Linked DNA regions of Callithrix jacchus. The protein of the gene in region 1 purifies or fractionates together with the protein of each later gene. This does not show direct contact. Links are inferred from orthologs where the notes say so. Each region holds a gene or a part of one and is shown in the gene's direction. Other genes may lie near its edges. The genes, in order: CANX, GGH, MOGS, HSP90B1, LRRC59, LNPEP and ATP2A2.

Region 1 (3,500 bases):
CTGGCCCTTAATTTTTGTGTTTTTAGTAGAGATGGGGTTTCACTGTGTTGACAGGCTGGTCTCAAACTCCTGACCTTGGGTAATCCACCTGCCTCAGCCTCCGTAAGTGCTGGGATTACAGGTATCAGCCACCACGCCTGGCCCAGTATAATAGATTTATACAACTCAGAGTGGGGTTTTTTTTGCGGGAGGGCGGGTGGGTTTTTTTGTTTGTTTGTTTGTTTGTTTTTGCTATTTAAAGGGTTCTCAGAGGCAGAGTTAAGGAGTGGAACTTTTTTGTATTGTCTTGTAGGAAAGTGGGAGGTAGATGAAATGAAGGAATCAAAGCTTCCAGGTGATAAAGGACTTGTATTGATGTCTCGGGCCAAGCATCATGCCATCTCTGCTAAACTGAACAAACCCTTCCTATTTGACACCAAGCCTCTCATTGTTCAGTAAGTGAAATACTTGTTGGATAAAAGCTTTCTAGAAAGGGTAATGTTAGAAGACATTATACAACTTTTACTCTGTGTTAAAAATTATTTTGCAAATAGTGATCAGATAAAAAATGAGATTATATAGGTTGTGTTAGGGATTTTTGGGTGAATTTAAACATCTTGTAATTAATATTTTTTCCTGCCCAAAAAATTATTTTGAAAGAAACTGATTACTCATTTTCCTGACTAAATGAATTGCAGATTGTGCAGAACATATTTACTGGAAATGTGCATTAATGTTCAGTTTATTTATTTTTGTGGAATTTGGTAGCTATTTAAAAGCAATAGAAGATGGAATCCTTTGTAAGGGTAAACATTTGACCTATCATAAAACATGACGAAGATGAGGGAACAAGTACGTTAAGAGAGTTTAGATCTTTCAAAATGCCATACAATTTTCAGCTTTTCTCTCTGATATTAGGTATGAGGTTAATTTCCAAAATGGAATAGAATGTGGCGGTGCCTATGTGAAACTGCTTTCTAAAACATCAGACCTCAACCTGGTATGTAATCCCCATTTCTGGAATGTGGCTGGACACCCACTATTACCTTGTAAGAATTATGTAATTTTGTAATACTTGTGAAAAATAAAGGCTTCCTCCCCTGCTTTTTAACTCTTTTGATAAGTTGGGAATATTGACTTTGACATTAATGTGCTTTCTATTTGAAGTGTGACTCTCTAAGTTGTTACCAGCTGTTTTTATCTGAATTTCTGATTTTGCTTCTGTGTAAGTTTTGGTTTTAGCAAACTTATTTTTTTGTTTTATGAGAGAAGCAATAACTATCTAAATATGTGTATTTTTTTTTTTAAGTACTTAAATATGTTATTTTAAATTTACTGATGATTACTGATTATTCCTTTTCACTAAGCCTTATAATTAGCTTTTTCTTTAACTGTCACCAATATATTTGGAATTTTATAAGAATTATTAGACACTTTTGAAATGTTGCTTTTGAATACTTTGACTAGAGTGGTTTCAAATAAACCTTTTTTGCTTCTGAAGGATCAGTTCCACGACAAGACCCCTTATACGATTATGTTTGGTCCAGATAAATGTGGAGAGGACTATAAACTGCACTTCATCTTCCGACACAAGAACCCCAAAACGGGTATTTATGAAGAAAAGCATGCTAAGAGGCCAGATGCAGATCTGAAGACCTATTTTACTGATAAGAAAACACATCTTTACACACTAAGTAAGAAAAACCATTCGTTTGGGGGCTTATGGCATTACACTTATATCATCCATTTAACTTAAACATTGTATGTCTGGCTGGGTGTGGTGTCTCACACCTGTAATCCCAGCACTTTGGGATGCCGAGGTGGGTGGATCACCTGAGGTCAGGAGTTCGAGACCAGTTTGGTCAAAATGGTGTAACCCCAGCTACTTGGGAGGCTGAGGCAGGAGAATTGTTTGAACCCGGGAGGGAGCCAAGATTGTTGTGCTACTGTACTCCATCCTGGGTGACAGTGAGACTCCGTTTCCAAAAAAAAAAGATTGTATATTTAGAGAGTACACCAGCCTGCAGATAAGAATCTCGGCCAGGTGTGGTAGCTCACACCTGTAATCCTAACACTTTGGGAGGCCAAGGCAGGTGGATCACTTGCAGTCAGGAGATTGAGACCACCCTGGCTAACATGGTAAAACCCCGTCTCTACTAAAAATAGAAAAATGAGCTGGGTGTGGTGGTGCATGCTTATAATCCCAGCTACTTGGAAGGCTGAGGCAGCAGAATTACATGAACCCAGGAGGCAGAGGTTGCAGAGAGTTGAGGTCGTTTCACTGCACTCCGACCTGGGCAGCAGAGCAAGACTCTGTCCACCTCCACCAAAAAAAAGAATCTCTTCACTTAATATCTTAGTTGGGAAATGAGTTTAATTTGTCAGCATTAAAAGAAGCTCCTTGGCCAGGTGTGGCGGCCCACACCTATAATCCTAGCACTTTAGAATGCTGAGTCGGATGTAGGCTGAGTCTCTAGTCTCTACAAAATATTAAGAAATTAACTGAGTATGGCGGCGTGTGCCTGTAGTTTCAGCTACTCAGGAGGCTGAGGTAGGAGGATTACTTGAGCCCAGGAAGTTGAGGCTGCACTGAGCCATGATCTTGCCACTGCACCATAGCCTAGGTGACCGAGTGAGATGCTGTCTGGGAAAAAAAAAAAAAACTTCTTTTCCACAGGAACTGAGGTTTGAGATATTTTTAAGAATAGGTATTTTTAGCCAGGTGGCGTGGCTCACACTTATAATCCCAGCATGTTAGGAGGCTGAGGTGAGCAGATCACTTGAGGTCAGGAGTTCAAGACTAGCCTGGCCAAGATGATGAACCCTCATCTCTACTAAAAAATAAAAAAATTAGCCAGACGTGGTGGTGGGTGCCTGTAATCCCAGTTACTCAGGAGGCTGACCAGGAGAATAACTTGAACCCGGGAGGGTGGAGTTTGCAGTGAGCCAAGACCTCGCCATTGCACTCCAGCCTGGGCAACAGAGTGAGACTCTATCTTAAAAAAAAAAGAAAAAAAAAGGATGGCTGGGCTAAGTGGCTCACTCCTGTAATCCCAGAACTTTGGGAGGTTGAGGTGGGTGGATCACGAGGTCAGGAGTTTAAGACCAGCCTGGCCAAGATGGTGAAACCCCATCTCTACTAAAAATACAAAAAAATTAGCTTGGCATGGTGGTGGGCACCTGTAATCCCAGCTATTTGTAAAGCCCAGCCCGTAGGCTGAGGCAGAGAATTTCTTGAATTTGGGAGACAGCGCTGAGATCTGCCACTGCATTCCAGCTTGGATTGACAGAGCAAGACTTCATCTCAAAAATGAAAATAGTAGTAGGTTTTTTTATATCCTATAAAGAACTTTGCTGACCTACCTAATTTCTTCCCCCCTTTTTTTGTTGATAAATGTTGAATAATAAATTATATATACAGTTATACATAAATCCAATAAAAATAGACAGTTTTTCAGAAGTATCTTGTAATTGAACTTCCAAGTTTGTGTATAATTGTCCAATACCTGGACACTTGACAA
Region 2 (3,354 bases), on another chromosome or scaffold:
AGATCTGCCTTTCAGTTAACTGTGTGTAACTGTTAATTTCCTAGTCTTCCAGCCTGTGGGTCTCTTTCTCATAGTTTCACATGTAGTCCCAGAACAGAGAGAAAGAAAGGGCAGTGTCACAGGGAAGTGGGGAGGCAGGGAGCTGAGTGCCTGGAGTTGCATGAGGCAGGTGTTTCTTCTCCTGAACACTCACAAAGCTGGGATAAAATGTTTCCCTTCTGTGGCCTGCTCTTTAGTCAGAAAGCTTGCTGAGATGAGAATGGTCAGTGCTTATACCCCTACATATCTCATATTCCATTAATTCTCTTTATTTCTCTAAGTACTTTCTGATGGTATTCATGGTTACAATTCCCAAGCAAAAAGTAACAGAGGGGAGATTTTATTTAATTTTTTCAAATCAAAATGAGGAGAGGCTTCTCTGAAGAAGAGATAAATATGTGCATTTTTCCAAAGGTAACTATTATATATAGTCGCGTTTTTTCTTGAATTGTGGAATTGTTCATGTGTATGTAAAAGTAGAGTAATATGACCCCTGGGTGTCTGTATCACCTTCAACAATTGTCAACAGTTTTGTGTCCCTTCTTGCTTCATGTCTACTTTTAAACTTTTTAAAAGTATTTAAAAAATTTATACCACAAAGTCATCAGTCATTCCATAGACTGATAGAGACAGTTTAGGCTGGGACAGACTGGCTTGTGTGGAAGGACACCAGAAGGGCTGTCATTATGGCAGGAGGGGAAAGCATGCTGTGAGACGGGGGAGAAAGAGGCGCATTGTGGAAGAAACTTGTATCACCAATAAAATGTGCACCTGACTTTTGGAAGGGGATAGATTCCTCAGCTCAGTTTTTACTGTGCTATGAACATCTTGAAAAGCAAGTTGTACTACAGATTGTAAAAGTTTGCTAATCAGTGAAATGTGTTACTGGGAATTTTCACATTGAGTGTGAGTGGATATTTTGTGTCTGAGAGAGTGTGAACAATTTACGTTATCTTCTATTGTGAGTTATAAAATGTTTTACATAAGACATAAACCAATTTCATTAGAAGTAACATCTTAAACCATTCTTAGTACTTACTGATTTGCGTTCTTCCCACAGGATATAAGTATCCAGTCTATGGTGTCCAGTGGCATCCAGAGAAAGCACCTTATGAGTGGAAGAAATTGGATGGCATTTCCCATGCACCTAAAGCTGTGAAAACTGCATTTTATTTAGCAGAGTTCTTTGTTAATGAAGGTAATATGAGGGTACATAATGTCATTCTGTGGTAGTTTTGAAGGAAATTGCCCTCATCTGAACTTTTGCCTACCTTTTTGCTATATAGGTGTTTTCTACGTGCTGTAGGTTTATCTTTAAAGAATAATAAAAATGTTAAATAATGTGAAAGCCCTGAACTTGAGATATTAGGTATTGAGATATTAGGTATTCTCATGAAACCAGGACAGTTACTTCCATTAACAGTATCATACATACTTGAGTGGGCAGAATTCTTGAACAACAGTAGGAAGAATATTGAGGGTTTTTTTTTCTTTCTTTTTCTTTGGTGTTTTTGTTTTATTTTGTTTTTTGACAGGGTCTTGCACTGTCACTGAGGCGGGAAGGCAGTGGTGTGATCATATCTTATTGCAGCCTCAAACTCCTGGGCTCAGGGGATCCTCCTGCCTCAGCATCCTGAATAGTGAGACTACAGGTGCACACTACCACGCCTAGCTTTTTCTTCTTGGATAGTTTTTATTTAGATTTTTCCCCTTATTCTCCATTTTTTAGAATAATGCTTTAATTATAACAGTCTCTGAGAATTAGATGTTACTTTTCCAAGACGAGGATACAGATTGAACATATGCCCACCAGGTCGTGATTTTAAGGCTACCTGTCTATAGGCATTAGCATACTGGAGAAAGCTAATAAACTCTGCCTGCTTTTTGGTGATGAAAACACAGACATAATCATGCTGTGTTCTGTTTGTGGGCAAAATCGAGAATTTGGCTGTAGGTGCTTATTTCTTAGTTGAGCATTATAGGTCCAGTAAGTCTTATGACTTTAAGCAAAACTTCCCTTCCCCTTCCCTCCCCATTTTCCTTCCCTTCCCTCCCCCTTTCCCTTTCCCTTTCCCTTCCCTCTTCCCTTCCCTTCCCTTCCCTCCCCTTCCCACTTCCCTTCCCTTCCATTCTCCTTCCCTTCTCCTTCCCCTTCCTTTTCCTTCCCTTCCCCCTTCCCTTCTGCCTTTCCTTCCCTTCCTTCTTCCCTCCCTTCCCATCTCTCCCTTCTCTCCCTCTCACTCTTTTTTTGGAAAGCAAGTTTATTAGAGAAGTAAAGAAATCAAAAGGATGGCTGCTCTATAGGCAGAGCAGTTGCATTTTTCTTGTTGGTATTTTCCCACGTAATAATACTGATTAGAGGAAGAAATGTTAAAAAGTAGTCTTGTGAAGATTTTATTATCTGATCTTTTTAAAAATTAACTTTTTTTTCTTGCAGCTCGGAAAAACAACCATCATTTTAGATCTGAATCTGAAGAGGAGAAGTCACTGATTTATCAGTTCAGTCCAATTTATACTGGAAATATTTCTTCATTTCAGCAATGTTATATATTTGATTGAAAGTATTCAATTCGTTAACAGAGCAACTTTGAATAATTCTATGATTAAACTGTTAGAATAACTTGCTACTCATGGCAAGATTGGGATGTCACTGAATCTTTTCTATAATGTGACTGGCTCTGATTCTTCATTCAGCATGTGACTGTTTATATAATGTTTCATAACTAAACAGTGAGACATAAATAATCAGTGTTTTTCATGGAAAAGCTTTCTTATATCTGAAAATTGGAAAAAAATAAATTTAGTGAAATACAAATATTTTCTCTAATTGATTTGCTTTGGAAACAAATACCATCCCCTACCTACCCACCCCATCCTCCTGCTGAAAAAGAAAAGAATCTTAAAATCCTACCACTTGTTCATTGTGATGTCTCCCTCTTTCGGATCTCAGGAGTATTTGTGTGTGTGTGTGTGTGTGTGTGTTCGCGCGCGCGCGTGCAGGTATGTGTGTATAGGTATGTGTGTGTGTATCTACTTTTCTGCTGTGTTAACTTCACATTTAAAGTATACACATCCTGAAAGCAGAGTCTGTGTCTTCAACTTTTTTTTTTTGAGACGGAGTTTCGCTCTTGTTATCCAGGCTGGAGTGCAATGGCACAATCTCAGCTCACCGCAACCTCTGCCTCCTGGGTTCAGGCAATTCTCCTCCCTCAGCCTCCTGAGTAGCTGGGACTACAGGCACGTGCCACCATGCCCAGCTACTTTTTTGTATTTTTAGTAGAGACGGGGTTTCACCATGTTGACCAGGATGGTCTC
Region 3 (3,933 bases), on another chromosome or scaffold:
AAATACAAAAAAAATAGCCAGGTGTGGTGCCCCACACCTGTGATCCTAGCTACTCGGGAGGCTGAGGCATGAAGATCGCTTGAATCCGGGAGGCACATTGCAGTGAGCTGAGATCTCACCACTGCACTAGAGCCTGGGAGACAGCAAGATTGTCTCAAAAAAAATAATAAAGTAATGTTCACTATCCTATTCTAGGTCAATCTGACTTACAGATTCTACATACAACCTTCTCTGACCTGGATATAAACCATCCTTTCTGCCTTCTGGGTTGTAGAGAGGAAAATGCCTTCTGTAAGTACTTGCACCACCACTATCATTGTTTTAGGGTTCATCTAGATAAGAAATCCCAGACTGAGTGGAAACACAATTTGTCTGAAGTCACAGCTGGAACAGAACCCAGGCTTCCTCTGGGGTCCACTCCTGCACTCTCAACTCCATTAGGAAAGAAGGCACCGGTGTGGGCAAACTCATCCAGCTTGATTCAGATATATGTGGGTTCCAAGCAAGCCACTTTCCAGCTGTATGGCCCGGACCAAGTTTACTTTTCCTGCCCCTGATTTTCACGGGGTGGTTAAATGTAAAACACCTGAGATAGTGTTTTACACTTAGGTTCCTAATATATAATCGTTATAAAAAAAAAAAAATGCCGGCCGGGCGAGGTGGCTCACACGTGTAATTCCAGCATTTGGGGAGGCCAAGGCGGGCGGATCACCTAAGGTCGGGAATTTGAGACCAGTCTGACAAACATGGAGAAGCTCCGTCTCTACTAAAAATACAAAATTAGCCGGGCGTGGTGGCGCATGCCTGTAATCCCAGCTACTCGCGAGGCCGAGGCCGGAGAATCGCTTGAACCCCGGAGGCAGAGGTTGCGGTGAGCCGGGATCTCGCCATTGAACTCTAGCCTTGGTAACAAGAGCGAAACTCCGTCTCAAAAATAAAATAAAACAAAATAAAAAACAAGCCAGTGGTAGATTGATTTTTCTGAGCCTGTGAACTCCATGGAGTCGCCAGATAAGCGCAGCCCCGGCGGATCCCCGCCCAGGACAGACGCTGCGCACGAACCCTACGCAAAATCGTAGGAAGCAGTTCCGGACTCCGGGACCAACATGACGTGGCGAGGCGGGACTGCCGGCGGGAGGCGGAAGTGCGGACTGGCAGGTGTAGCTGATCTGACTGCGGTCCGCGAAGCGAGAGGCGGGAGCCGGAGAGGCGAGGTAGAAACCGAGCTCCACTGCCGCCTTTCCGAGCTCTCGCGACGCGGACCGAGATGGCTCGGGGCGAGCGGCGGCGCCGCGCAGTGCCGGCAGAGGGAGTGCGGACTGCCGAGAGGGCGGCTCGGGGAGGCCCCGGGCGACGGGACGGCCGGGGCGGCGCGCCGCGTAGCACGGCTGGAGGAGTGGCTGTGGCCATAGTGGTCCTGTCTTTGGCCCTGGGCCTGTTCGGGCGCTGGGTGCTGGCGTGGCACCGTGCGCGGCGGGCGGTCACGCTACACTCCGCGCCTCCTGCGCTGCCCGCCAACTCCTCCAGCCCCGCCGTGGCCCCGGGCCTCTTCTGGGGAACCTACCGCCCTCACGTCTACTTCGGCATGAAGACTCGCAGCCCGAAGCCCCTCCTCACCGGTAACCGGGCTCCAAGGCGGGCGGGCAGGCGGATTCCTAATCTGGGCTCCCCAGCTTGAAGCCAGAGCAAGGGTGGGGAGGAATGGATCAGGAGAGTTACGAAGAGGGATGACCCGGAGGAACAGGTCCCCTGCTCTTTGACTTACGTGGCCATTCTACCCCCAGGACTGATGTGGGTGCAGCAGGGCACCACCCCGGGGACTCCTAAGCTCAGGCACACGTGTGAGCAGGGGGACGGTGTGGGTCCCTATGGCTGGGAGTTCCACGACGGCCTCTCCTTCGGGCGGCAGCACATCCAGGATGGGGCCTTATGGCTCACCACTGAGTTCGTCAAGAGGCCTGGGGGTCAGCACGGAGGGGACTGGAGCTGGAGAGTGACTGTAGAGCCTCAGGTCAGGGCCTCAGGACACCCTTTCCTCAGCCCAGACCCCCTCCATCCTTCCCTTGCTGCCAGCAAATGCAGCATGAAGTGGGCTCCAAGACTGGCTGCCTGGCTTAAATCCTGCCTTAGACAACTGCCTGTATGACCAACTCTACATCTCTAAGCCTTGATTTCCTTGCTTGTAAAATGTAGATAAAGCACCTAACTCAAAGAATTGTAAGAATTAAGTTAAATAAACTGTATAGACGTCTTAGTGTAGGACATAACACAAAAGTATACTGTAATCGCGCAGGGAAACCAGTGCAAGTCTGGTTTTATTTCATCCCATTTGGGTGTACGTGGTTACTCTCAGTGACCCTCAGCACTGCCAGAGGTATATTGTTTACAATTCCCCTGTCTGCTGTTCCTTTCCCTTACTAAGGCTGATTCTCAAGAGAGAATGCCAGTCTAACCCTGTTCTTTTCTGTCCTCCTTGATCACTCAGGCCTCGAATACCTCTGCCCTCCCTTTGGTCTCCCTATTCTTCTATGTGGTGACAGATGGCAAGGAAGTCCTACTACCAGAGGTTGAAGCCAAGGGGCAGTTGAAGTTCATCAGTGGGCACACCAGTGAACTTGGTGACTTCCGCTTTACACTTATGCCACCAACAAGTCCAGGGGATACAACCCCCAAGTATGGCAGGTAATTGGGGGAAGACAATGTTGGGAGATGGAAGGGGTGGTATTGATGCTGACTTTGATTTGTCTCCCCCACCCTACCTTCTTTCTACCAATTATTTGCATTTTCACCAGTCTCCATGTTCCTTGCCTGAGACCACCCAGCCTGACTCCTGAGCACTTTGTATTTCTCTTTATAATGACCACTGCCTTCTCCTGAATATTTTCTATTTATCTTCTTCCCTTCAAGCTACAATGTCTTCTGGACATCCAACCCAGGATTGCCCCTGCTGACAGAGATGGTAAAGAATAGCCTAAATAGCTGGTTTCAGCATAGGTCCCCAGGGGCCTCCCCTGAACGCTACCTTGGCTTGCCAGGATCTCTGAAGTGGGAGGACAGAGGCCCAAGTGGGCAAGGGCAGGGGCAATTCTTGATACAGCAGGTGACCCTGAAAGTTCCCTTTTCTATAGAGTTTGTGTTTGAATCAGGTAGTGCCCAAGCAGGAGGAAATCAAGCCCTGCCAAGACTGGCAGGCAGTCTACTGACCCAGACCCTGGAGAGCCATGCTGAAGCCTTTAGAGAGCGCTTTGAGAAAACCTTCCATCTGAAGGAGAAGGGCCTGAGCCCTGGCGAGCAAGCTTTGGGTCAGGTTGCCCTCAGCGGTCTCCTTGGTGGAATTGGCTACTTCTATGGACAAGGGCTGGTATTGCCAGACATGGGGGTGGAAGAGTCTGAGCAGAAGGTGGACCCAGCCCTCTTTCCACCTGTACCTCTTTTTACAGCGGTGCCCTCCCGGTCATTCTTCCCACGAGGCTTCCTTTGGGATGAGGGCTTTCACCAGCTGGTGGTTCAGCGGTGGGATCCCTACCTCACTCGGGAAGCCCTTGGTCACTGGCTGGGCCTGCTAAATGCTGATGGCTGGATTGGGAGGGAGCAGATACTGGGGGATGAGGCCCGAGCCCGGGTGCCTCCAGAATTCCTGGTGCAACGAACAGTCCACGCCAACCCCCCAACCCTACTTTTGCCTGTTGCCCACATGCTAGAGGGTGGTGATCCTGACGACTTGGCCTTCCTCCAAAAGGCCTTCCCCCGCCTGCATGCCTGGTTCTCCTGGCTTCATCAGAGCCAGGCAGGCCCAGTGCCACTGTCTTACCGCTGGCGGGGACGGGACCCTGCCTTACCAACCTTACTGAACCCTAAGACCCTACCCTCTGGGCTGGATGACTACCCCCGGGCTTCACACCCTTCAGTTGCTGAGCGGCACCTGGACCTGCG
Region 4 (3,500 bases), on another chromosome or scaffold:
CCAGGGTGTTGGCTCTTACCCATTCTTCCTTTTGGAGATAATACCAGCTTCAATACAAAAAGTAAAATTGTCTTAAATGTCTACCCCTGTCTACTAGAAGGAAGACAACAAATTTACAACGTGATTTCTCCTACATTCGATTGAGAAAGAAAAGGTCTTTGACTCATGACTTTATCATATTTATTGTATTTGATATATAAATGGGGATTTTTCTTAAATCTGTTATGCATACTGTTTCTTTTTTTCTTTTTTGAGACAGAGTCTCACTGTCACTAGGCTGGAGTGTAACGGTGCAATCTCGGCTCACTGCAACCTTCACCTTTCCGGTTCAAGCAATTCTCCTGCCTTGGCCTCCCAAGTAGCTGGGACTACAGGCACGCGCCACCATGCTCAGCTAGTTTTTGTATTTTTAGTAGAGACGGGATTTCACTATGTTGGCCAGGATGGTTTCAATCTCTTGACCTTGTAATCTGCCCACCTGGGCCTCCCAAATGCAGGGATTCATGCACCACCGTGCCCAGCTGATACTGTCTTTACTTTTGCATTGGATTATATGCTTAGCCTCATATCTGAATTTATTTTACATTTTCAAATGTAATAGTTGCACAGGAGGTTAATGACCTTTCTCAATTAAGTTCATTTCAAATCATGCCCTCCACACCCCCAAGCATTAAATTATAGGTACCCAGACAGAATGTCTCTTGAATAGTACACGACCTGTGAATTAACAGTATTTCAACTCAAGGGCCTATACCTGGAGGTTTAATAAGTCTTTGGTAGCTTTTATTTTCAAGAAATATAGTACTTTATGTTTATGTTTTAATGTCACAGAAATGACCTTGAAAATGACTTCTTCCCTGCTTTTACTCTCTTTGACCTGGGTGTGTTTCTGATATGCTATCTAGTAATCATCCTTTTTTCCCTAAGGCCTAGTTTAAGGATTCTTTTTAAAGCCTTTTCTCACAAACGTAGTTTCCATTGTTGTCATAATTCCAAAATTCATATAAGTCTTAGGTCTTGACCATAAATTTCATGTCCACCTATGAATTTCAGGAAATGATTAATTAACAGGAAGTTACTTTTCATTCAACAAATACAAACGCTTACTATGTCAGTAGATATAACTCTTGTCTTTTGTAACTTCAGACTAGTAAAAATGACAGATCAAAGCCAGGCATGGTGACTCACTCCTGTTGTCCCCACTACTCAGGAGGCTGAGGCAAGAGGATCAGTTGATCCCAGGAGTTCAATACTGTAGTATGCTGTAATGGCCCTGCACTTTAGCTCTAGCTTGGGTAACATAGCCAGACCCCGTCTCTTTAAAAAAAAAAAAAGACAAATCAAGTCATAATCCAGGCTCTACATAGATAATGGGTATGACAGGATAGGGATAGATGTGGTTCCTCTGTGTCCTCAGAGCTTTAAACTAGAGAAGAGATAATAATCACAATGAGCAGTAAAATGCTGAGGATTTTGAAGGTATATTCAAAATGCATTTGGAACTGAGTTCGGATAAAAAGTTAATTTTTCTTGGAATCATATTGGTGAAGGCATCATAGAGAAGGTATTATTGGAGCAGCACCCAGAGACTACATAGATATTTCTGAACTCTGGGAGGCAGAGCTGCAATTATGGCAGTAAGAATAAACTAAGAGGGAACAAACAGGACATTAAGTCAGTTCATCTGTTCAGGTGTTCTCTTAGGTACCTTGGACTCATCAATAAATAATTCCTTTCATTTCATTTTTCATCTAACCATGTCCACTTGCCCCCTGCCTGCCTCCCCATTAAAAGGGAGCAATACAGGCTGGGCATATGGCTCACATGTATAATCCCAACACTTGGGGAGGCTGAGGTGAGAGGATCACTTGAGGCCAAGAGTTCAAGACCAGCCTGTGCAACATAATGATACCCTGTCTCCACAAAAACTAAGAAAACAATGCAGCCATCCCTTTTTGTATCCTGGGGTATTGGTTCCAGGATATCCATGGATACCAAAATCCACGCATAGTCAAGTCTCTTATAAAGTCGTGTTGTATTTGCATATAACCTAGGCACATCGTCTCATATACTTTAAATAATCTGAAGATTAACACCTAATGCAATGTAAGTGCTATATAAATAGCTATTACACTGTGTTGGGCTTTTTATTTTTTGTTTTGTCCTTTCTAATATTTTTAATCCAAGGTTGGTTAACTCTGCAGATGAAGTGGACTGGAAAAGTACAGCCGTCCCTAGGTGTTCAAGGGGGATTGGTTCTAGGACCCCTGCCAAAATCCACACACATATTCTAGTCCCCAGTCTACCCTGTGGAACCCAAGTATATGAAGAGTTGGAGTTCTGTATGTGTGGATTTCACATCCCAAGAATACAGTATTTTCTATCCGAGTTTGGTTGTTGAGTCTGCTACAGGAGGGTGGGCTGTATTTATTGGGGGAAAATTAGCATATAAGTGGACCCTCAAAGTTCAAACCTGTGGTGTTGTGTCAATAATACATTTTTATTTTTTTACCAAAAGTTGTTCTCTGTATTTATGAAAGAATAAGGGGAATGTATGAACCCTAAAATTGGATATGTTTTGTTAATGTTCATTTTTATCTCTTAACAGTTACTATGCAAGTCAGAAGAAAACATTTGAAATTAACCCCAGACACCCACTGATCAGAGACATGCTTCGACGAATTAAGGTAGTGTTACAGGAGTCCTCTTGCTTATCTTTTAATTTAAATACTTTGTATCTTTTAATATTAATCTGGTGTATCTTCTTGCATCTCAGGAAGATGAAGATGATAAAACAGTTTTGGATCTTGCTGTGGTTTTATTTGAAACAGCAACACTTCGGTCAGGATATCTTTTACCAGACACTAAAGCATATGGAGATAGAATAGAAAGAATGCTTCGCCTCAGTTTGAACATTGACCCTGATGCAAAGGTTTGTATCCCCAACCTTTCCACAGAGGCTGGCTGGCTTTCTTTGTTTCTGCTCTTTCAGAATAGGCTTCTCATGATTGAGGGATGTAGCTTTGAGACATTTGCCTAATTTCTACCTTTTGAAATAATTGTATTGAATGTTTGAATCCCTCTAGTCTTGGGCACTGCATTAGAAACTAAGTCCTTCTATGTCCTCTTTCCTTTTTGCCTGCCTCCCTTCATTAGCTTGACTATTCATTCTAGTTAGAGGATTTACTCTCTGGTTCTGAATAAATCGAAGTGACATTAATTATGATTTTAGACATCGAAATGAGCAAAGTGGCAATAAATCCACAGCATTAATGGGCCCATAAATGTTGTGTTTAGGTGGAAGAAGAACCCGAAGAAGAACCTGAAGAGACAACAGAGGACACAACAGAAGACACAGAGCAAGATGAAGACGAAGAAGTGGATGCAGGAACAGATGAAGAAGAACAAGAAACAGCAAAGGTATAGCAAATCAAGAATGTGACTTGCATTTTCAGTTCTTACAAAGTTAGGACTGTGTAACTTATAGAAGTCAGACTGTG
Region 5 (3,404 bases), on another chromosome or scaffold:
TATTTCATCTCTGCTTGGAGGGCTGATAGGCATTCATGTGAAATGTGGCTAAAGCAGATTCCTGATTGCGCTTCAGTCCCTCCCAGTGTTGCCTGTAGTAGGAGATCACTTTTCCTGTAGTTATTCAAGCCTGAAGTAGGAAAAGATGTTAAGACTCCTTTTTTTCTGTAATTCCCATATCCAGTCTGTCAGCAAGTCCCATATGGGACTGTTTGTCCACCTCCAGTGTCATCTCTAACCAGCCACCATTCTGGGACCGCCACAGCACCTTCCAACATGTCTCCATGACGGTGCGGTCTCCTTAAACTCATTGTCTTCACAACAGTCTGGGAGACTTTTTAAAAACATAAATAATTATGCTGCTACTTTCTTAAAACAAGTGGCATCCCACTGAACTTAGAATAAAATTATACTCATTGACAAGGCCAGTAAAACCCACCTTGGCCCCAGCTTGTTTGCCTGCTCTCCGCCAGCCTTGCACACACCAGTGAGTCTGCGCCGTCAGCTTCAGTTTGAATACACCAGCTGCGGTCTCACTTGGGCTTTGCTGCGTGTCCTTTTCCCTTAGTCCCTACCTGCTGGCCTCATGACCCCACATGTCTGCTCAAGCGTTGCCTTAGGTTAACCATAATGCTTTTAGACCACCGGACTAGAGTAACCTTCCTACCTGTCACTCTCATACCCTCTGCTAGTTTCTTTCTTTCTTTTTTTTAATTATTATTATTGTTTGAGATGGAGTCTCACTCTGTCGCCCAAGCTGGAGTGTGGTGGTGCAGTCTCAGGTCACTGCTATCTCTACCTCCTGTGTTTAAGCCATTGTCCTGCCTCAGCCTCCTGTAGCTGGATGCAGGTGCCCCTCTGCTAGTTTCTTTATGGCACAGATCACTGTCATCTTTACGTTCACTTGTTTGTGTGTCTCCTCTAGAGAGTAAATGAGAGAGACACTGGAACGTGACCTGTATTCTCCACTCTGCATCTCAAGCACTTAGAATAACTCCTGGCACATAGTAGGTTTTCTATTGACAGGCTGGCTGATTTCTGAGCCCCTCACTGGAGGACTACTGTGGTTCAAGAAGGGATGTGTACAGTACTGATTACAGGCAGTCCCTGAGGTCACGATGCCCAGATCCCTTATGTGGCATGGCCACTGTGGCAAGACATGGCTGTGCTTCCTCTGACCCCTGCTGCCTTCACCTCCCAGTGGCCCATGTTCCCTAGAGGCTGGGTGGTGTGGTTCTTGGCATTCCTGGTGCCCAGCTGGAACTCGGAGCTTGTTTCTACATGGAGAAGCAGTGGAAAGCTACAGTCTTACAGTACTGCTATTCAGCAACATTATGGCTCAGATAGGCTATTAAGCCCTAAAAGGACATTTAACCATCATTTGTGGCATTCTGGCTTTAGAAAAATGTGCTTCAGACTTCCAAATAACTAATTTGGAAATGCATTTTTAGAACCCAATGATTTGGAGGTTGTAATTTGGAAGTTTGTAAACATGCTTGAACTGCTGAGTAAATCTGAATGTGTACCTGTGTTCAGTTCTCAGATTCATGAGTTCAGGTCTAGAGGCTACTCTGACAAACTGTTAGGCTTATTTGTTTTTTAAGAACAGTCAAGTGCAGGCTGGTCCGAGTGCAGTGGTGTTTACAACTAATTGATCACAACCAGTTAGAGATTTTCTTCTTCCTTCTCCATTCCCACTCCTTCAGTTGACTAGCATTAAAAAAACACAGCAAAACAAACCAGTCTGTGCAGTAGTAAGAAAGTAGACTCACTTTTTTAGAACAACGTTGCCATTGTTACTTTTTTTTTTTCTTTTCTATTTTCTGAGGCAGTCTCACTCTGTCACCCAGGCTGGAGTGCAATGGCACAATTACCATTCATTGCACCTTCCACCTCCTGAGTTCAATCAGTCCTCCCACCTCAGCCTCCCAGGTAGCTGGGACTACAGGCATGTTCCAGCACACCTGGCTAATTTTCTCATTTTTTGTAGAGATTGTCTTGCCATGTTGCCCAGGCTAGTCTGGAACTACTGGCCTCAAGTGATACTCCCAACTTCACCTCCCAAAGTGCTAGGGTTATAGGCATGAGCTACTGCTCCCGGCCTCGTTGTTTCTAACCCTAAACTTGAGTGTTCATTTTCTCTTCTCACTGTCCCCCCATGCCACATTTATTTCTGAAGCTTGGGAAGATAGAAGTCCTATAGAAAACTGCCATGTTTTTTTCTCTTCATAGCTGAGTTCTAGAAGGCTATCAGTTGGTATCTGAGTTCTGAGTTAGTACCTAATTCTAGAGGAGCACCACTTAACCTCCATGCCTTGCTTAGGTCCTCCTTGTTATTTTACCCTAATTTCTCTGCTGCTTGAGGATAGGAACCTTGTAAACAGAATCATTCAGCAAACCCTGAGAACAGCTTCTTTTAGGGAGGGCTACTTCCAGGAACAGAAAGATGGCTGTTGCCTTTGACTATTTCTTATGTGATCCATGGCACCAGGGTAAAGGTGGCAGAATCTATACTTTTAATCACTTGGGAAAGCAAACTGCTGGAGTGTTTGTGGGAGAGAAGTCAAGTGTTGGTGTGTTTGTTATAGAGGCAGAGAAGAAGCGCGAGGCCAAGCAGCGAGCTAAGGAAGCCCAGGAGCGGGAACTGCGGAAGCGGGAGAAGGCAGAAGAGAAGGAGCGCCGGAGAAAGGAGTACGACGCCCTCAAAGCAGCTAAGCGGGAGCAGGAGAAGAAACCTAAGAAGGAAGCAAATCAGGCCCCAAGTAAGTTTGCTGTCTGTCGTAAGGTTCCAGCAGGGGTGCAGTGGAGACACTCATGTTTCTGGGCATAGATGACTGAGTGAGCAGCCCTGCACACCTTAGTCAGATAAATCACACTAAAGCCTGGAAGTAGATGGGAGGGTTTGGTTACAGGGAATGGAGGACTCTCCTCTAGGGAGCTAGTGTCCAGCTGGTTTGTTTCCCTAGTGCCCACATACTTCTGTTTTGGTCAGATGTGTCTTGGAGCATTCCTGGAATAGAGCCTTACTTTTTGTAGAGGTGAGATTCTAAAACCATTGAGATATGCAAAGATCACAAATGGTCAAGTTTAATCTTAAAAGTCCCTCACAGCCAGGTTCCGTGGCTCAGGCCTTTAATCCCAGTGTTTTGGGAGGCTAAGGTGGGAAGAGATCACTTGCGCCCAAGAGTTCAAGACCAGCCTGGGCAACATAGAGAGACCCTGTCTCTACCTAAGTTTTTTTAAAATTAGCCAAGTGTAGTGGCACACAGCTGTGGTTCTAGCTACTTGGGAGGCTGAAGCAGGAGGACCATTCAAGACCAGCCTGGGCAAGTGAGACCCCCCTCTGCTTGAACACTGAAGGAATCATTTGGCCTGAATTCAGGGAGCCACATTGTACAGAAAAC
Region 6 (4,069 bases), about 42 Mb from region 1:
TCTCAACACCACTACGTCCATTCACTTATTCATGCAAAAATTATTTACTGTATACTTACCCAGGCGTTGGTGATACAGCCTTAAAAAAGATAAAGACTCTGCTCTCACAGAGCTTGCATTCTTGAGAGGGAGGCTGATAATAAACAACAAATTCAAAACATTGTTTCAGACAGTGTGAGTGCTGAGAAGGAAATAAAGCAAAGCCAAGGCTTTATAGTGCAGACCGTGTTTGTGGCTATTTTACATGTATAGTCAGAGAAGGGTTCTTTGCAGAGGTGACATTTGAGCCGAGACATAAATGACAAGATGGAATCAGTAGGCAAAGCACTAAGCAGAAGAAACAGTTGTGCGAGGAGCGTGCAAAAGGTATGATTAACAATGATGGATGGAACTTGGCGACTTCCAAGAACAACATGAAGGCCTCTGTGGCCAAAACATGGTAAGCATGTGCTGATGCGGACCCAGAGTTGGGCAAGGAGTTTCATTTTTATTCTAAGTGTAGCTGGTATCCGCTGGAAGTTTCAAGTAGGCGCGTATTGTGGGGGATGTAATACAATAGACAGTTTAAAATACAGTATTGCACTTTGACTTAGTGCTGGTCAAACAACACCCTGACCGTCCCTCTTTGCTCAGGCTGTTTGCGCTCGCCGCGGCTTGTTTGTCCCTGGCACCCTGTTGACAGCCTCGGAGCGTGTGACAGTTGGCAGGCGCAGTGAGGTGCAGCTCGAGCCAAGTCGCTGCAGGGGCCGGGGCTGAGGGATGGGAAGAGGCAGAGGAGGCGGTGGTGGCGTGCTCGGAGGGCGGTGGCCTCTGCGGCGAGGGTGGTGGCTATGCGCACACCGAAAGGGGGAAAAGGAAGCGGGCCCCGACCAGCCTTCTCGGGGTTCGCGGGGCCCTTGGCGGTTCGGCCCCGGAGGTTACAGGGGCTGTCCGATTTGGCACTGTTAACAATGGTGGCTTGGGGCTAGAGGCAATGGCGAGAGTGCCAGGGAGCAGAGGTGACTAGGGAAGTTTCGGTTTCTCGGGCCTAGCACCGCGGAGCCTCGCTGCGGGCCCCAGCGGTGTCACCCCGGGAACCGCAGGTGTTGATTTAAGGCTCGGAACAGGCGGGCCTTCTGCCCACATCCTGCTGCGTCCGCGGCCCTGGCAGGACGATCCGGCGCCGGGTTTTGTCATCCGCCCGCACCTAGAGGCCGCGCCCGCAGCCGCGAGTCGGGGGACTGGACTCCTGGGCGCCCTCGGCCCAGCAGGGTCCCCGCCTTCTCTTCCGTCTCCTCCCCACCACCCGCAAGGGACAGTCGGTTGCGGGCGGACATCTCTGCAGAAAATATCTACAGCGCCCGCTCCCTCCGTCCTTGGAGAAGTGATCCCTCCGCGGCTAATCTCCCCAAGGAAACCGGCGATTCGCAGTTTGGATAGCGACCTTCGCCCGCAGGTTCCTGCTCTGCCTTCAGACCTCGGCTTCAGTGGCACCTGCTCAGCGAGGCATCTCCTCACCACGCCATCCGAATTAGCTACCCACTCACTGGGCATCACATCACTCGATTTAATGCGCAGCAGGGCATTGACTTTACACTGGTGTGTCTTCTGTGTTTATTTATGATCTGTTTCTGGAATGACCGTTCCTGGGACTGGGACCCTGTTTTTCCGGCGCAGTGCACGTGGCTCGGAGTCCAGGATCGGGCGGGTCGCAGTAGGGCCCCGCATTTGTTGAGTGACTGAACTTGGTTCCCCTCCCGGGAGGGCGCCGCAGCCAGGGCCGCTTCAGGTAGGGGCGGGACTTTCCGGGTCCCGCCCCAGGCCCCGCCCCCAACGCGAACCCCGCTCCTTCCTGGCCCTTCCGCGGAGCCTCCGGGGGTCGGACTGTGCTTTTCCCTCTAGCTTCCTAGCTCTTTCTGCAGCCGCCGCGAAAACCCGGAACGGCGGAACCATCGAGCAGTGGAGCGGCGACGCCCCTCGCGGCACCTCCCCGGCAGCCCTCCGAGGCCGCGCTGGGCATGCTCAGTCGGCAGGGCCGCCTCAGCTCTCGGAGTAGGAAGCTCGGGCGCTCGGGCTGTGAGGAGCCGCGGCGGGGGTAAAATGGAGCCCTTCACCAATGGTGAGTGGGCGGCCGAGGCACCTGGACACGGGCTCTCTAGAGCCCCGAGGGCCGTGGGCAGTCGTGACACGCGGAGTCGGGCTGCAGCCATCTTCCCCCCGCCGGCTTACCACGAGGGCTGGGGGAGGCAGGGAGATGGGATCTTGGGGAGGCAGGGAAATGGGACTTGGGGGGGCGGGCGGCGGCCTTTGCTGGGCCCCGGGCTCGCGTGAAGGTCAGCGCCGCCGCCGCAAGCCCGGGGTGCGGCCGGTGGGCGAACCTCAAAGTTTGGGCTGCTGCGCGCAGAGGAGTGGGCATCGGGAAAGTTGGCAGTTCAGGTTTGCCCCGGGAGGAAGCGGTGTCGGCCCGACTCCTGCAGGAGCGTTAAGCTGTGGCCGCTGCCCAACCCAACTTTTGTGGGGCGCCCGGAGCTGTCCCACTGCCCTTCAGTGAGCTGCCGGTGTGACTTTTCCTACCAGGGCGGGGGTGGGGGAGAGGGTGGGAGGCTTGTTGTGGAAGGAAGGGAAACTTCAAGAAAGGCTCGCTCACCCGACTCGGGGCCTCAGAGATGCCTGACCGCAGTGCCATCCTCCTGGCCCCGCCAAGGCACTCCGCAGGGCCACCATGCTTCCCCCTCACCGGCTGCAGGTCCCATCAGTTATTCAGTCGAAGACTTGTTAATGTCAAGGGTCCGTCACGGTGATAACCACAGTGTGACAGGAAGCGAGAGTCAACGCAGGGAGCCTGCCTGCACCCTGCCGGTAGCCACTGCCCTTTACTGAACCGGGAGCATAAATCCTACCCTAGTTAAAACGATAGCTTTTGTTCTGACCACAGGTGCCAGAGTCACAATATAGGGGTGAGATGTTTTACCATTTTGCGGCGCTGAGTGTGTGGATTTCCTTTTAAGATAGAAAGTAGGAAAACTGCCAGTAAGGGAAACAACTCACTAAAATTAGAGGATTCACTCTCTGGTTTGACATGTTTTCCTGAGGGTGGTTGGTTACTTCAGGTGGAGTATCGCTTTCAAAGGCTCCACTGTCTATCACTGTATAGGTATGTTAGTTGCCACCCAAGGGCAGACAGATATTGTCCATTATATCCCAAATCCCAGCCAGACTTTGTTGTATGCTGCGCTTCATTGATGGGGCTGCGAACTACTGATTATATTCTCCCTTCTCCTAATGTAGAATGCTTTATTCTACTGCCATCTTTCTGTCTGTACTGTTTAATTAGGCTTACTGATAAGAACTTTAATTCTGAATTTTCTTTCTCATTCAGGTCCTATTTGTAATTACTAAGACTCAAAGAATAGTCTGGTGAAGTTACTCGAAAAATTAAGGAAGGTTTGAGCTAAAAGGAACTATAGAGACCATCTAGTACTTCAGTGTAAAATATGTTAAATACAAGTTGTTAGTCCTTACAAGTGATTATTCAAGGGTTTATTCTTTGTTCTTGGTAGAATGCTTGGAGTTACCATGTTTGTAGGATTTTAAATGTTAAATATCTCTGTGACAAGGCTGACTCACCCATTTGGTCAAGATTAGTGCTAGCTGATTTGCTGAACCTTTGCTTACAATTATTAAAGCACTTTTTCGAGTTTCAAAACTGGGGTCTTTTCTCTCATAGAATATGCTTCTAGATATGGGTATTTGCAAATTGTCACATTTGGGAGGACAATGGAAAAATCCCACAGAAGAGAACAAAGAAAGAAGCAATGCTTCGACTTTCATGTAGGAAACTGTATTTTTGATTCTTTCCTATCTGTCTTTCAGAGTTGATGCTGGAGACAGCTTGGCAGTGCATAATTTTGGTTAACGTAGCAATCATTCTTTGGAACCTTATTTAGCATCCTTTTACAAGGAAAATAGAAGTGACAACATCTACAGTCAACAATAAATTCGATGTTAGCAATTTGAAGTGCATTTCAAGTTTAAGATGGACAGGGTATTTATTTGAAAACTTGAAGAATTGTAGAATTTTCTAGTGTTT
Region 7 (2,395 bases), on another chromosome or scaffold:
CCTGCCACTGCACTGGGGTTCAACCCTCCTGACCTGGACATCATGAATAAACCTCCCCGGAACCCAAAGGAACCATTGATCAGCGGGTGGCTCTTTTTCCGTTACTTGGCTATTGGCTGTGAGTACAGTTTTTTATATTGCTGATTTTTAAACGAAATGTTTGTGAGCTGAAATTTTGTAAACTCATCTCTTAAAAACCTATTTTTTCTTCTGTCCCCATATAGGGTAGCAAAAGATGGAGGATGCCCTCTTACAGTTTGATGAACTATACACCCAATTTACTAAAGTCCTTTCAGTTAGTTCCAGTTTTAGCATCCTGCCCTTATCTGGGCTTTTGTGAATGAGCAATTAAACATCAGGCCCGTGTACAAAGGGATAAGGATGACTCAGTCTGGGTTCTGCCTTCTAAGAGTTCATAGACGGGATTTGAATAGATAATTGTCACCAAGACATAAAGCTTAGTCCCTGTTTCCATAAGCAAGAGAAGGGTTGTGCAGTGGCTAGGCCCTATTGTATATGAATCATCTCTGTAGCCATCATCTTCCTCCCCCATGTGCTGGTTCCAATCCAATCAAATTCAAGATTGGGAAAGTGAGTCGAAATCACTTCCCTGCAAATCCCATAGGAAGGCGTGTTTTCATAATATATTCACACAACTTAAAATTCAAAAAGCACACGATGGCATAAAGTGGAAAGGTTTTGGGCCAGTCACTTCCCTCTGGCATCGAGGAGCTCATGTACCCTGTGCCCTTCCAGAGAGATTCCAGCATGCTGTGCATGCTGCATGACTTTGTCTCAACGTCTTCCTGCTTGTCAGATCCTTCCACATTGGGACAGGCATAGTGCCTCATCCTTGCAGCCAGGGGCTTCGTGCTCCATTGTAATTACTGGGTTAGTGGGTATATGCACTTGTCTTTTTTTTTTTTTTTTTTTAGACGGACTTTCGCTCTTGTTACCCAGGCTGGAGTGCAATGGCGCGATCTCGGCTCACCGCAACCTCCACCTCCTGGGTTCAGGCAATTCTCCTGCCTCAGCCTCCTGAGTAGCTGGGATTACAGGCACGCACTGCCATGCCCAGCTAATTTTTTGTATTTTTAGTAGAGACGGGGTTTCACCATGTTGACCAGGATGGTCTCGATCTCTTGACCTCGTGATTCACCCACCTTGGCCTCCCAAAGTGCTGGGATTACAGGCGTGAGCCACCATGCCCGGCCCCACTTGTCATTTTTGATGCTGCCACATGGGGATATTCACCTCATCTGAATTCTGTGTATTCTTTGCTGCACCTAGCTGCTTCTTTGCAGTAAACTTCCTGAACTGAACGCTAATGTTGGGGGGAATCCCAGGAGCTGCTGAGGCCAGGGCCATGCTGCTCAGTGTTCTACCCTAGCTCCTGACAGCATTTCCCTAGAAAGCTGCTGCTGGGCCTTTAATGGAGCAAATAAATTCGTGTACAACTAGGCAGCATTAGTTTGCCCAGAAGTCATGGTGTTATCTAGCCTTACATTGGAGGATACACACTTGCAGCCTTGAAGTACTGCTCCCTTAGGGGAGAAGGCACAGCCAGGGTAAAGGTTGGCACAAGATTCAGCAGTTGCTTTTTCTCACACATTGTAGAGGAAAAATTACCCAGTTCTTCTGTACCAGAAATATCCCTGTCCTTCAGAAACCAGGCTTTAGTTGCTCTGGCTGCCAGGCATGAGCAGTTTGCTGGTAGCACCACAGATTCTGGTGATATGTTATTACCATCCCATGTCTTTGATCTTCTTCCTTATGTGGATTGGCCTCTGTGGCCTTGGTGGCAGTGGGCCCTGCAGTGGCAGAGGCAAGTGCCTCAGCATCATGTTTGTTCCCAGGTTACGTCGGCGCTGCTACCGTGGGTGCTGCCGCATGGTGGTTCATTGCTGCTGATGGCGGTCCGAGAGTGTCCTTCTACCAGCTGGTACTCAGCCACCTTTCTTTTTGTTCCTTACATGAGAAGTGTTGTGAGGCCTTGACCTTTCTGTGGTTTGGGTGTCTATCAAATCATCTTAAGGCTTAAATGATAAGCAGTTACATCTAAGATGATTCTGAGGGACCAGGGCTTCTCTGGGAAGTTGGGGTCAACCCCTTGGCTGGCTCTTCTCTTGGGCTGGTCTGTGCTAGTCTTGGTATGGAGTTGGTGCCTGGACTTGAGAAATATACTGGGCTGATAGGCGTTTGATTGGATTTTTGTTGCAGAGTCATTTCCTACAGTGTAAAGAGGATAACCCGGATTTTGAAGGCGTGGATTGTGCAATCTTTGAATCCCCATACCCGATGACAATGGCGCTCTCTGTTCTAGTAACCATAGAAATGTGTAACGCCCTCAACAGGTTAGTGCACCTTCACAGCAGGCTGGGGCGAGCGTGCCAAT

Evidence for each region.
Region 2: the proteins of CANX (region 1) and GGH purify together in Homo sapiens (affinity purification with mass spectrometry; 3 studies listed by BioGRID and IntAct, with this or other methods). This does not show direct contact. The link is inferred for Callithrix jacchus from reciprocal best matches to the Homo sapiens genes CANX and GGH.
Region 3: the proteins of CANX (region 1) and MOGS purify together in Homo sapiens (affinity purification with mass spectrometry; 3 studies listed by BioGRID and IntAct, with this or other methods). This does not show direct contact. The link is inferred for Callithrix jacchus from reciprocal best matches to the Homo sapiens genes CANX and MOGS.
Region 4: the proteins of CANX (region 1) and HSP90B1 purify together in Homo sapiens (affinity purification with mass spectrometry; 4 studies listed by BioGRID and IntAct, with this or other methods). This does not show direct contact. The link is inferred for Callithrix jacchus from reciprocal best matches to the Homo sapiens genes CANX and HSP90B1.
Region 5: the proteins of CANX (region 1) and LRRC59 purify together in Homo sapiens (affinity purification with mass spectrometry; 3 studies listed by BioGRID and IntAct, with this or other methods). This does not show direct contact. The link is inferred for Callithrix jacchus from reciprocal best matches to the Homo sapiens genes CANX and LRRC59.
Region 6: the proteins of CANX (region 1) and LNPEP purify together in Homo sapiens (affinity purification with mass spectrometry; 3 studies listed by BioGRID and IntAct, with this or other methods). This does not show direct contact. The link is inferred for Callithrix jacchus from reciprocal best matches to the Homo sapiens genes CANX and LNPEP.
Region 7: the proteins of CANX (region 1) and ATP2A2 purify together in Homo sapiens (co-immunoprecipitation; 3 studies listed by BioGRID and IntAct, with this or other methods). This does not show direct contact. The link is inferred for Callithrix jacchus from reciprocal best matches to the Homo sapiens genes CANX and ATP2A2.

What each region holds. Positions count from the first base shown.
Region 1 is NC_133503.1:71,938,439-71,941,938, reverse strand, and holds part of CANX (calnexin), read left to right. Parts: intron 1-292; coding exon 293-434; intron 435-897; coding exon 898-979; intron 980-1,480; coding exon 1,481-1,673; intron 1,674-3,500. UniProt on the Homo sapiens protein: Calcium-binding protein that interacts with newly synthesized monoglucosylated glycoproteins in the endoplasmic reticulum. It may act in assisting protein assembly and/or in the retention within the ER of unassembled protein subunits.
Region 2 is NC_133517.1:19,003,022-19,006,375, reverse strand, and holds the end of GGH (gamma-glutamyl hydrolase), read left to right. Parts: intron 1-1,099; coding exon 1,100-1,237; intron 1,238-2,476; coding exon 2,477-2,598; 3' UTR 2,599-2,854; downstream 2,855-3,354. UniProt on the Homo sapiens protein: Hydrolyzes the polyglutamate sidechains of pteroylpolyglutamates. Progressively removes gamma-glutamyl residues from pteroylpoly-gamma-glutamate to yield pteroyl-alpha-glutamate (folic acid) and free glutamate.
Region 3 is NC_133515.1:38,737,344-38,741,276, forward strand, and holds the start of MOGS (mannosyl-oligosaccharide glucosidase), read left to right. Parts: upstream 1-1,133; 5' UTR 1,134-1,267; coding exon 1,268-1,619; intron 1,620-1,784; coding exon 1,785-2,011; intron 2,012-2,485; coding exon 2,486-2,682; intron 2,683-2,907; coding exon 2,908-3,933. UniProt on the Homo sapiens protein: In the context of N-glycan degradation, cleaves the distal alpha 1,2-linked glucose residue from the Glc(3)Man(9)GlcNAc(2) oligosaccharide precursor in a highly specific manner.
Region 4 is NC_133510.1:106,891,293-106,894,792, forward strand, and holds part of HSP90B1 (endoplasmin), read left to right. Parts: intron 1-2,608; coding exon 2,609-2,687; intron 2,688-2,776; coding exon 2,777-2,932; intron 2,933-3,297; coding exon 3,298-3,420; intron 3,421-3,500.
Region 5 is NC_133506.1:115,940,030-115,943,433, forward strand, and holds part of LRRC59 (leucine-rich repeat-containing protein 59), read left to right. Parts: intron 1-2,588; coding exon 2,589-2,762; intron 2,763-3,404.
Region 6 is NC_133503.1:113,669,841-113,673,909, reverse strand, and holds the start of LNPEP (leucyl-cystinyl aminopeptidase), read left to right. Parts: upstream 1-1,269; 5' UTR 1,270-2,079; coding exon 2,080-2,098; intron 2,099-2,626; exon of another isoform or gene 2,627-2,792; intron 2,793-4,069. UniProt on the Homo sapiens protein: Release of an N-terminal amino acid, cleaves before cysteine, leucine as well as other amino acids. Degrades peptide hormones such as oxytocin, vasopressin and angiotensin III, and plays a role in maintaining homeostasis during pregnancy.
Region 7 is NC_133510.1:113,257,679-113,260,073, forward strand, and holds part of ATP2A2 (sarcoplasmic/endoplasmic reticulum calcium ATPase 2), read left to right. Parts: coding exon 1-118; intron 119-1,856; coding exon 1,857-1,942; intron 1,943-2,220; coding exon 2,221-2,354; intron 2,355-2,395.